Linked DNA regions of Cricetulus griseus. The main gene of each other region encodes a partner of the protein of the gene in region 2 in a complex. Links are inferred from orthologs where the notes say so. Each region holds a gene or a part of one and is shown on either strand. Other genes may lie near its edges.

Region 1 (4,045 bases), on a different chromosome or scaffold from region 2:
CTGCCTCTCAATTCTGGATAATGACTGGTAGGGAAGTGACCATGTCCTTGAACATTCCAGGAGACCTTACCTTTCTGGATCATTTCCTTTGTCTTAGGGTGAGGCATTTTGATGAACATGTTCCCAAAGCAAACCATCACATCTTCTGAAATAGCAAACAGACATTACTTCAACACGTTTTATTTCTTCTTTTTGAAGCACTGACTATCTGCCAAGCACTGTTTGGATGCTAAGAACATAGCCCAACAAGACAAGTTCTTGCCCTTGTGGAATTCATAACAAAGCAAAAGACAGTAAATAAACAAGTTGTTTTTCCACATAGTGCTAAGTGATGGGAAGCATCAGGAGAGGTACAAGGGCTCTTTGCAGATGTGACATCCAGGCAGAGAACTGAGGAAAGGGGGGGGTATCTTCCCTAGACACCTGGGCAGAGCCCAGGCAGAGGGATGGCAACAGCCAGAACTGGCAGTGTTTTGGTGTCAGAACAACCAAGAGACCAGTGGGTCAATGAGTGGGTGAGAAAGTGGGGGCTAACATGGTGGAGTGTGTGGGGCGGGGTCATGTGGAATCAATCCTGCAGGACAACTCTGGGTTTTACTCCGGTGAGATAAGCAGCCAGTGGAATGGACGTCAGTGCCCTTCATTATGCCCTGAATGCTGCCCATCCTTCCAGAACTGCTTCAGGTTGTCCCCCACTTGCTCACACTGCCAAAGTCACAGCCACCTGGCTCATCTAAAGAGCCCCATCTCCTCCCTCCTAGACAGTCTCAACATCCACTCATGGCCAACTCCATCTTTAGCTTTCCACAATTTTCAGTTGTATGTTTACACTGCTTTTCCTCATGTGGAACATAAGGGCAGATCTATTATTGCTTCTAAGTGCTGTGTGCCATTGATGAGTGATAAGCTAATGGCCTGTCACTGAAGTGAGCAGCTCAGATCCTGAATCACAGCATATGTCTGACCTGCAACGTTTGCCCGCTCTTCCCCACAAGCTGTTTTCGTTTCCTGTGAGGCTGAGTCACACAGTCCCAGCCTCCTGCCTGCTCTCTAGCAGGGACAACAAAGGCCTTCACAGGAGAACTGCATCAGTTTCCAGGGCTTCAGTGAGGATGTTACAACTTACCAGAGACGCTCAGGTCCTTCTGTAGGGCCCTCAGGCCCTCTCGGTTCTGATTCCTCTTGGTATCCAGGTCTACAATCTGAAAACAGAAGCAGATAGGAACTCAGCTGCCTCCCGCCCCAACCTGAAGAGACAAGGAATCCTTCCTGGCTGGAGGCCAATGTCTTGGTTAACATGGACTGAAGCATGAGCGTGTTTCTTTACCCACTCAGTTGCCAGCCCCTCGGCCTGTACAGGAGCCTCCTTCCTCCAGAGCAGGTGCTAGGAAAAAGTTTACCAATTAGGAATCATTTGCACAGCCCAATTCAAACCTGAGCATGTACCAGGGTCATCAGAGAGTTTAGTGTCTCCCCTGGGCAGTTATTGTTGACAGGCTATTGTAGGAAAATCTAACAGTCTCCCCAGACATGGACGTACACCACCATGACAGCTACTCAGGCAATGACTCTGGGGCTGGAGTCCACAGGAATCCTGCTGCTTGTGAACCACAGAGGCCTTCTCACTATAGACCACAGGAGTAACTATGGCAGCTTTTGGAGACCATTTCCAAAGTATATTTCTCACCCCATCACTAACATCTGGTCCAAATCCAGATCTGGATAACTAAATTCGTGGTTCTCAGCCTGTGGGTCTTGACCCTTGGAGTCGAACAACCCTTTCACAGGAGTCACCCAAGATCACTGCAAAACATTGCAATTCATAACAGCAGCAAAATTACAACTATGGTTCCGGGAGGTGGTGGCACATGCCTTTAATCCCAGCACTCAGGAGGCAGAGGCAGGCGGATCTCTGGTGAGTTTGAGGCCAACCTGGTTTACAAAGCTACAAAGAGAAACCCTGTCTCCCCCCCCCAAAAAAAATTACAACTATGAAGTAGCAACGAAAATTACTTTATTGGGGGGGGTACCCATAACATGAACTGTATTAAAGGGTTGCAGCATTAGAAGGTTGAGAACCACTGATCTCAATGGTTCTTTGCACACTAGTTAGCAGCTAGAGAAGACTTTTAAAACCTAAGTCCCGTGCATGCACGCCTATAATCCCAGAACTCAGGAGGGCGGACAAACACGGACTGTTCAAGGCTATCCGAGATTACACAGTGAGTTCGAGGCCAGCCCCAAGACACATGAGTCCCTCTAAAGTTTAGAGTCTAAACCAACCTATCAATCAATCAAAATCCAAAGATAACATTCTCAGCACTCAGAACTCCCTTTGGAGACTCACCACTTAATCATAGATCCAGAGCCAAGCTCCCCTTTCGGGTCTACGAGGCCCTCCAGCCTCCCCCGCCCCACTCCACGTCACCCTACCGTCCAGCCAAATGCCGCTCGGGTCTCAGCAACCTGACTCACGATGGGGGTCGGGGAAGCCGCATGCAGAGGGTAAGGTTCCGGGGGGCCCGCAGGGACAGGGTCAAAGGGAGGCTACTGCCCAGCGCAGAGGAGGCGCTCGCTCCGGAACCCCGCGCGCTTGCCTGCTTACGAAGCTAGCCGCCGCCGCGTCTCTCACCTGCCGCTTGTCCGACAGCACCGCCTCGGCCAGCTCCTCCACTTCGACCAGGTACCGCATCACCCGCTCCGCTTCAGGGGACAGCATGGCGACACACAGCTCTCAAGACACCTTCGGCACCGCTTCAACGCCCCTTCTGCTCTATCCACGCACGCGCCGCGCTGAGGACTTCCGGCGCGCCTGCGCAGTGAAAAAAAAAGGGCCCTTAGAGGGGTGGCGCATGCGCATCAGCGGGGCGCCGGAGGGGCGGGTCTAGCTTTGGGAGCGGGACAGGAGCGCCCCCTTCAGTCTCTGAGGGAGCAGCCCAGTGCGCTGCCTTCTTTGCTCTCCCTTCAAAGGGTTGTTGAGCATCCACCGTGTACCACGTTGGATGGAGCAAGGAGTAAAACATCCCGACTTTAGAAATGTCGTCCCAGTAGGAAACAACGAACACTGATGGGAAAATAGTTACATATTATGGGTGGTAGAGTTAAGAGCTTTGGAGACACAGAAATCCTAAGTCCTGTTTAACGACGCCGAGAAACCGAGTGTGGCAGGGAGACTTATATTTAACCGGTGATACTTTCAGCTTCTGGTTTGTAAATAATGGGTGATAAAAATTACCCCCCCACACACACACACACACTCTCTCTCTCTCCTGAAGATGAAAAGGAAACAGTAATCATTTTAAATCTCGTCTGGCTGCTGCGTTTGTTGAATCCAGTGTCCTCAGTAGCAAGCTGAGACCCACACAGAAGGAGCTGGAAATTGTCCAGGGTGAGCAGTGAAGTGTCAGTAAGAGTACAGTTGCAAAGCTGGGGGCTCAGAGGCGAGGCCTGGGAGTTTTTGCCTCGCCGATGCCATTTTGCTTATCTGTGTATATAACTGGAATTAACCCAGTGCCTCTCACACGCTCAGCTCTGCCACTGAGCTGTATGCCATTTGTGTGGGTGTATGTGCTGTGTGTGTGTGGGGGTGTGTGTGTGTGGTGCATGCATGTAAGTGTGGGGGCACCTGTGTCCATGCAGACACATGCAGAGGCCAGAGTAGGGTGTCAGCTGCTTTCCTGTCTTTCTCCACCTTCCTGCCTTGAAATAGAACCTCTCACTGAACCAGAAGTTCGCTTTTGGGCTAGGCTGGCTAGCCAGTGAGCTCTGTGTATGTACCCAATGCTGAGGTAACAGTCCCACACAACCGTGTCTGGATTTTTATTTATGTGGGTGCTTGGGATTCGAACCCAGGGCCTCATTCTTTCAGAGTGAACACATACTCACTGAGCCCTAAGGCCCAGATCGGATGTTCACTTTTTAGTCTCCTTTATTGACTTCTGGCGACTTAGGTCCTTAATACACTGGCTCACTTGATTTTCATGGCCTCTTTTGTATAAATAGGGTCATTACTGTTAAGTTTTATAGCTGCAGGCTTAGGCTGGGA
Region 2 (4,240 bases):
AGGGGAGTCTAGCATCTAGGTTATCCTCCAGGCTCAGCCCTTCACTTGCTAAACATTTAAATAAAAATAGAGAGAATTATTCACTCTTAACTACAAGTTAGCCCATCTTCAGTAGAGGACTCCAATGATGGACCATATAACTATGATGTGGGGTGATTAAGCACAGCATTTTGCCAGTCTCTGCCTAAGTCTGGATCATGGAATGCAAGCAACCAAGCAGAAGTCATCCAAGAACTTCTTAAAATTTGTGTCTGTTTAAATATTTTTTATGTGCTCCTGCCCATTCCTTTTACGGAGGATGAAACCCAAAACCATGTGTGTGAAATATACGTGTATGTTTTGGGGTTTTTTGTTTTGGTTTGGTTTGGTTTGGTTTGGTTTGGTTTTGGTTTTTCGAGACAGGGTTTCTCTGTGTAGCTTTGGAGCCTATCCTGGCACTGGCTCTGGAGACCAGGCTGGCCTCGAACTCACAGAGATCCGCCTGCCTCTGCCTCCCAAGTGCTGGGATTTAAGGCGTGCACCACCAACGCCCGGCGTATGTGTTTATAAAATAAGCAATATTCAAATTTACCAATTGCCACAGGATATACTGCCCTCTTTATAGATTAGTACCATAATCCTTACTAGTCTATAGGCAATCTTGTGCTTTTTAAATTATCAAATGCTTATGTGAACTCAGTGAGGTTTGTTTGTTTGTTTGTTTTGCTAAAGAGGACTTGAAGGTGGAAGGGAAATGAGGTAGGAGGGGTCTGGGTGGAGTTGGAAGGAGGGAGTAGGGAGTGGATATGGCAAAAATACATTGCATACATGTTATGAAATTCTCAAAGAATAGAAATGATTTTAAAAGAAAAAAAAAAAGGTGGGGACTACATAGATGGATCTATGGTTAACAGCACTGGCTATTCTTGTAGACGCCCCAGGTTCGATTCCCAATGCTCACAAATATTCAGTAGCTCCAGCTCCAGGGGATCCGACGCCCTCTTTTAGCCTCCACGGGAACTGCACGTACATAGTGCACACGCATGCAGACAAAAAAGATAAAATAAGAAAAAAAAAACAATTAAGACCGGCGAGAAGGCTACAGAAATGGTTCGGCATTTAAGAGCACAAAAGGTTCTTGCAGGGGATGTGAACTCCGTTACTACCACCCACATCATGGGAGCTCACAACTGCATTTAACTCCAGTACCGCTGCCGCGCTCGCTCAAACATGCGCGCGCGATTCAAACAAGCTGTAAACGATTTACTCCCTCTCCCTACCTTCCTGTGCGTCCAACCTCCCTCAGAACCCGGCAAAGCTCATTAGACTTCACCCGAAACAGCTACCCGCGGCTGTCAACCACTAGCCGGCTAGCAGACAGCCCGCCCTCTGACTTCCTAGTATTCTCCAGGGTTTCCTTAAGATCCCGCCTCAGCGCTCCACTTTCAGGCGGTCTCCTCTCATTCTGGACCGCCCCTCCATGCTGGAAACACGTCATCCACCCGCGCCACCCGGAAACCGCGGTTCATTCTAACCTTAGGTGGCCCTAAGGTAAGCACGGCGCTTGGGTACCGGTGAGTGACTGCGTGTTAGAGTCGGGTTGGGCAGAAGGAGGAACCCCGTAGCATGAGCCGAAAGAAGTCATACCCAACGTTAAGAGGTTGGAGAGAACTTTGTGAAGTTAAACAGGAGCACTCAACGTGGTTTTTCTCCCTCCTCACTCCCCAGGAAGCCTATCATGGCGACACCCCCGAAACGGCGGGCCTTGGATACTGTAGGAGAGAAAGTGCTGCGGTACGAGGCCTTTATCAGTGACGTACTGCAGCGAGACTTGCAGTGAGTGACAACGCAGATTCTAGGCGTGACATTTGAGAAATTCCACGTGGTGGGTGGGACAGAATCCCGGGAAAACTTTCGGATTGGCCGGGAAGAGGGGTTGACGTCCGGGCTGCGATTTGGTTGGAACTTGGCCCTTGTAGTGGAGCCTCTGGCGTCGTTCGTCGGATTAAAATAGTCATAAAAACCCACGACATTTCTGACTGGGCCATTTAGCCATTACTTATGAAAAAGTTGTACATCACCTCTCCTCTCTGTGCTTTATAAACTTTGCTCATCTGTGGAATGGGAAAGTTTATGGAGCCTTCTTAATGTGGTGGTTTTGAGTTTTAAATGTGTCTACCCAGGTAAAGAATGTAACCCAAAGCCTAGACTGATAACACAGGACTGTAATTCCAGCACGAAGGAGGCAGAAGCAAGAGGATCTTCGAAGTTGGAGACCAGCCTGGAATATAAACTTGACTGTCTCTAAAAGGGGGAAAAAATTAGAATGAAGCCAGGCTCAGGCTCTGTGGTGCATGTCAGTAGTCCTATCTAGTGGAGAGGTGGAAAAATTCATTTCTTTAGCCAGGATGTTCAAGCCAGCCTTAACAGTAGAACATGGTTTTGATAAAATAAAGCCCAGTGTTGTGACACAGGCTTGTAATCCCTGTACTTGGGATGGGTGAATCAGGACGATCCAGAGCTCAAGATCATCCTCAGCTATATTTCAAAGATGAGTACAGCCTAGGCTCTGAGACTGTGTCTCAAAAAAAGAAGACAATGGAGCCAGCAAGATGGATTGCCTTGCTTCCATGTCCTGAGCTAGCTCTCTGGGATCCACATAGTGAAAACAAAAAAACTCCCAAAAGCTGTCCTATGACTCACATGGGTGTACCACGGCACCCATACATGTACACAAAATAAATACATTAAGTAAGAATACTTTTTAAAACTTTACATAAACCCAACTATACTACAGTTGTATTAAGGCTGAGAGGAAAGAACTGTCTTGTGTACTCACAAGTAGCCTGGGAAACTCAGTTCTTGTCTCAGAAAATAAAAAACAAATAACCTGGATAGTTTTGAAAAGGAATTTAGCTCCGGTGGATGAAACATACTAAAAACTCAATAATTAGATGATTAGTATTGCTGTCATTATTAATGTGAACAGAAAGTTTGGAACTAGAGCAGTGTGAGCATGGAAGGTATGTGTAGGGTGAAGATGGAGCATTTTAATTGGCATAAGGCACTGAGTACAATGCAGTATTTGTAATAGTGATGGATAGAAAGGATACAGTGTTTACCATTTGGCTGGCATTTTATAGTAAACACTTGAGTCTAATGGTTCCTATGAGGTAATACTGTCATCTCTATTTTATATGTTGTGAAACTAAGTCCCAAATAGGTTTCCTAATGCCAAAGTCACATTGCTAGTAAGAGTTAGAGCTCAGGATGAAATACAGTCTGACTTGTATTTATTGAAATACTTGGTGTGTCTTTCTCTGTCTATACTATGCGCTCGCTCGCTCTCATGTCTCCGTGTGTGTGTGTGTGTGTGTGTGTGTGTGTGTGTGTGTGTGTGTGTGTGTGTGTGTGTGTGTAACACAGGATCTCACTATGTAACCCAGGCTGGTCTTGAACTCATAATCTTCCTGCCTCAGTCTTTCAATTACTGGGATTACACTCGTGAACTACCATAATTGGCTTAAAATGCCTTTTAGGCCATGATGTGAGATATCTCAAGAGGAATAGGGCTGCCTAATGATCACTCTTCTATTTCCACGTATCAGAAAGGTGCTGGATCATCGAGACAAGGTATATGAGCAGCTGTCTGTATACCTTCAACTGAGAAATGTAATTGAGCGACTCCAGGTAAAGGCTTTTAAATTGGGTATCAGTTTGTATATGTGTACAAAGAAGGAAGATGGGAAGAGAAACCCCAAAACAAAACCTTTTTCCTGCCTTAAAAATTGGCCACTGACACCTACTTCTTTTCTCCTGGCCCTACAGGAAACTAAGCACTCGGAGTTATATATGCAGGTGGATTTGGGCTGTAACTTCTTCGTTGACACAATGGTGTGAGTGTATTCCCTCCCCTCCGAGTTTCTTCCTTCTTTCATGCAACAAGTATTTCTTAATATGTTCTATATACCAGACTCTGGTCACTTTTATATTGCACTAGGATGTAAGCTACATGCTGTGGGTGTGAAGTGAATGAACATGAAATACCGGCCCTTACAGAGCCTTAACTTTAGGGAACTGGAGGGAATAGGAAACACCTTCAACTATACAATGTGCTAAATGGTAATAAAGACTTCCTCCACTTCCTCTGACTTCTTTCCTCAGCCCAGATACTTCCCGCATCTATGTGGCCTTGGGATATGGTTTTTTCCTGGAGTTGACACTGGCTGAAGCTCTCAAGTTCATTGACCGAAAGAGTTCT
Region 3 (3,995 bases), on a different chromosome or scaffold from region 2:
CTGCAAAAGAATTTACAACATCAGGACATGATTTGCATAGTGATGCTCAACAATCCTATTATCACTTATTTTTGAGCTTCAGTAATATTCAAAACAGCAATTTATCAAATATAAACAGATACAAAGCCACTCGATACTTGCCACCTAGAAAGGGCTGTTTGCATAGTATGTGCCATTATGTCATGTTACTGTCAGTGACAAAGGCTACCACAGCCACAGGGTTATAATTTACTCTTATAAAACAACATGGAGACCTTTTCTGATCAATGAAGGTTCTTTATATTACCACACGGGCACAATACTATAGTTCTTTGCTGCTGTCAAACTTCAGACATTTGATAGAATGCCAATTCATGATTATTACAGATTGCCACTGCAGTTAAATGCCCATGTGTTTTCACGACTGTTTGTTTATTCATCAGTTACTCTAAAAGAAGCTCCAGGTCAAGTCTCATACAGCGTTTATACATTCTGCCAATCTGGTCTCCAGAAGTTTTGTATTAATTTGCCTTAGTTCTAATATTTCATAAATGACAATATCAGAAATGTTGAAAATGTCAGTCATTTTAAAATGCTTGAAAGAGAACAAAATCATTTCTTCATTTAAGATATATTTTTTTAACAGTAAAACTACACATGAGACAGCAGTTTATTTATGAACATGTCATAAAAAAGGAATTAAATAGGTTAAGTTCTTGGAGCATTAAAGTTTGCTGTGGAAAAGGAAGTAATTGTTTCTTTTTTTGTTAAAAATGTAATAGGGAAAGAATCCTGTCAACTTTGAGATTTACTGATACATGCAGAAAAACATGAAAAACAAACTAGGATACTTTAGTTTTAAATTAGTATGTTAGAATTTTGTAATTTTAGCATAAATGATCTAATTCCTGATTTTAATATACTGTATACTATTCCGGATTCCAACAGTAACTTACCCGATTCTTCTTCAGGTTAGAAAGTTCATCCACAAGAATTTTTTGTTCTTTAATCTATTAAAATAAAGAAAAACCTAAAGTAGACGTTTTCAAAGTATGTTTGGTGAGGAAATTCTGAATAATGGGACTGGGGGCTGTCACATACCACCTGTCTAAATGGACACTCTACAGGGCAACAACACCCAGCTGGACTCCGTGGAAAACAGCTGGAGAAGGAAAAGCTGACTTAGACTTGCCAGCTGCCAGTTACCACATGGCTTATACCTTAACCAAAGTGAGCCACTGTTCACCAAAATCAATACCCACCCTTTAATTAGTTTTATAAAGTTTTGTTGTACACTTTTTAAAAAAAGAAAATGAATGTGTTTCTCCCCTTCCCCAACAACAATTACTTTTCATGTATGTACTAGATGATAGCCAGACATTCAGATAAATAGTATTGGATGCCCTACCTGGGGAGATACAGCATCATTTTTCATCTTTGCATCATTCTGTTTGCATGGCAAAGACTGCATACTGCTGTTATCATTAAGCTAGGCTTGTTTGTGACCATCAAATGAATGCCTAACTAGGCAATAACTAATTTAAGTAACCACACACCATCACACACAGTAATAAGAAGCAAGGTCTTTTTTAAAACTCACACCCGCCCTAGTGAGTATGCATCCTTATGTCTCCACGATGGCAGAGGTGAGAGTTATAGTGATGAACTACAAAGCCACACGAGTTCATCTTCCTTGAGACTCAAGTCTGCTTGTATGGTGTTTTATGTTCATTTTAGGAAAGACAGGTAGACATCTCACTTTAGCTGACACCAAAGAAAACTGTGATACAGTGGGAATAAGGTCACTAACCCAAGATGTCACTTGGGACAGAAAAAAAAAAATGTAGAATTTAAAACGTTTAATACTCTCCACTATACATGTTTAAAGACTGTCTGTAATTGGAAGTTAAGATTAATGGTATAGTTCAGCAAGGTGGTGCAACCCTGAAATCATGGCTGTCAGGCAAGAGAATAAGGTCATGCTCCCCTCTCAAACAACAGTGTTTGCGCCTGGCCTGAGAGACACGAAAGCTCAGGAAGGAAGAAAGGAAGGAAGAAAGGGAGGGAGGGAGAGAGGGAGGAAGGAAGGAAGGAAGGAAGGAAGGAAGGAAGGAAGGAAGGAAGGAAGAAAGGAAGGAAGGAAGGAAGAGAAAAGGGGAGGGAGGCAGACAAAGATTAACTTGCAAGAGTCCTACTTAGAGACCATCAGATAAATGTATTTTAGGATCACAGTGGAGGACACAGGCAGCTGGGGACACCCTGAGTCAGAACAGCCAGTGACAGCGTCTGGAAGGACACTGGCAGATTTCTAAACTTTCGGGATGGATGTCAAGGATGGCCCCCAGGCGGGTGCGTAGCTAACAGGGTGAAGCAGATCCACAGAGCAACAGATCCGCGTGAAGGGAAGGGGGACGGTAAGGGGACAGCCCCACCAAACCTCCGCCAGTGTCTCTCCCCCCCCCCCTTTTTGGGGGACAAGCTTCTGTGCCTCCCTCTCTGCAAGTCTGCAGGAAGGAGGGGCAGCCTGAGGCGGGTGCCAAGAACCGACTACGGAAGCGAGGAGCACGCCGCCGGGCTGCCGGGCGCCGCCGGGAACCCCAGCCGGAAGGCGCTCCCCGGCCACCCACCGCACCTTGCTGTTAAGGGCCTCCGTGCGTGCATCCGACTTGTAGGGGGGCACCGGCGCGGCGCGATAGTCTGCTCGTACCCCACTTCGGGGCATCTCCACGCCGGGTCGCACGCCGGTGAGCCCACGGGGATGCACGCCGGTGAGCCGCCGGGACGGAACCGAGGACAGGAAGCCCTGATCCGGCGTGCGAGCTCTCAGTGGACCCGCCCCTTCCGGCATCCCGACCAATGGAGTACGCACACTCACCCCTGCGCAGTAGAGGGCGGTTGGGGGAGTATGGGTGGGAGACTAGACATAGTTATGGGCATGCGCAAACTGGTTTGAACTAAAGGCACAATTGCCTGGTTGCGGAGTTTATGAAGGCTCTGTGTCGTCCCCTAGCGGATCCGATGTATAATAATAATAATAATAATAATAATAATAATAATAATAATAATAATTATTATTATTATTATTATTATTAAAAGGTTCAGGTGAGCTGAGTGGAGACATGAGTATCTGGATCAGTCCAGGTGAAAGCAAAGATATTTTGAGACCAGGTGTGGAGGGGTATAGAGAAAAAGGCATCCTTAAGGTCTAAAACTGAGAAGTGAGATGTCGGGGGGATAGTAGAGAGGAGTGTGTAAGGGTTAGGAACCACAGGATGGAGGGGCACTACCATAGAGTTACGGAGGTCCTGAACCAGACAAAAAGTCCCATTAGGTTTTTTTACTGCCAGTATAGGGGTGTTAAAGGGGGAGGAGGTAGGACGAAGTAGCTTTTTCCTTAGGAGGTCAGAGATAATAGGTTTAAGTCCCTTAAGGCTCTGGAGTGGGAGTGGGTACTGAACTTGAGCAACGTACCTAGAGGGGTCCTGTAACTGAATGACAAGGGGGGATGGTGTCTAGCCACAGAAGGGTTCTGGTAGACCTTGGGGTCTACCTGAGAGGCTGGTAAAGGAAATGACGTACTGGAACCTGTAGGGTGAGTAGCTAGGAGGAGGAGGAGGGGAGCCGCTGGCGAGTCTGGAGTTGGGCGAATGTGGGGAGCAAAAGAAATAGAAGCTCCTACCTTAGCTAGAAGGTCCCTCCCTAGTAAAGGCACAGGACAAGTCGGTATAACCAAAAATGAATGAGTAAGGGGAATCCCCCTAAAAATACAGCTAAGCGGTGGAGTCTGCTGAGGTAAGTAAGGCTGTCCTCCTACCCTGACAATAGGAAGACGAGACAGAGAGGTGGGTCCCCAAAACTCCTTTAGGACTGAGTATGTGGCACCAGTGTCCAAAAGGAAAGAGATAAACCGCCCTGATACTTTAATGTCCACCCGGGGCTCCCTTTCAGAGATGATGGTGGTCGGGTCAAGAGAGCCTGGGCCCTGTCATTCATAGTCCTCATCCATAGCCAGGGCT

Evidence for each region. The genes of interacting proteins can lie anywhere in the genome.
Region 1: Uxt (region 2) and Pdrg1 share a complex: the UniProt entries of both Homo sapiens proteins name them as parts of the PAQosome complex. The link is inferred for Cricetulus griseus from reciprocal best matches to the Homo sapiens genes UXT and PDRG1.
Region 3: Uxt (region 2) and Asdurf share a complex: the UniProt entries of both Homo sapiens proteins name them as parts of the PAQosome complex. The link is inferred for Cricetulus griseus from reciprocal best matches to the Homo sapiens genes UXT and ASDURF.

The regions. Positions count from the first base shown.
Region 1 is NC_048599.1:26,995,305-26,999,349, reverse strand, and holds the start of Pdrg1 (p53 and DNA damage-regulated protein 1), read right to left. Parts: upstream 2,810-4,045; 5' UTR 2,720-2,809; coding exon 2,633-2,719; intron 1,203-2,632; coding exon 1,127-1,202; intron 146-1,126; coding exon 71-145; intron 1-70. UniProt on the Homo sapiens protein: May play a role in chaperone-mediated protein folding.
Region 2 is NC_048604.1:125,813,287-125,817,526, reverse strand, and holds the start of Uxt (protein UXT), read left to right. Parts: upstream 1-1,436; 5' UTR 1,437-1,530; exon of another isoform or gene 1,531-1,707; 5' UTR 1,708-1,717; coding exon 1,718-1,815; intron 1,816-3,587; coding exon 3,588-3,669; intron 3,670-3,807; coding exon 3,808-3,875; intron 3,876-4,143; coding exon 4,144-4,240. UniProt on the Homo sapiens protein: Involved in gene transcription regulation. Acts in concert with the corepressor URI1 to regulate androgen receptor AR-mediated transcription. Together with URI1, associates with chromatin to the NKX3-1 promoter region.
Region 3 is NC_048595.1:402,525,326-402,529,320, reverse strand, and holds the start of Asdurf (ASNSD1 upstream open reading frame protein), read right to left. Parts: upstream 2,810-3,995; 5' UTR 2,702-2,809; coding exon 2,612-2,701; intron 990-2,611; coding exon 936-989; intron 1-935.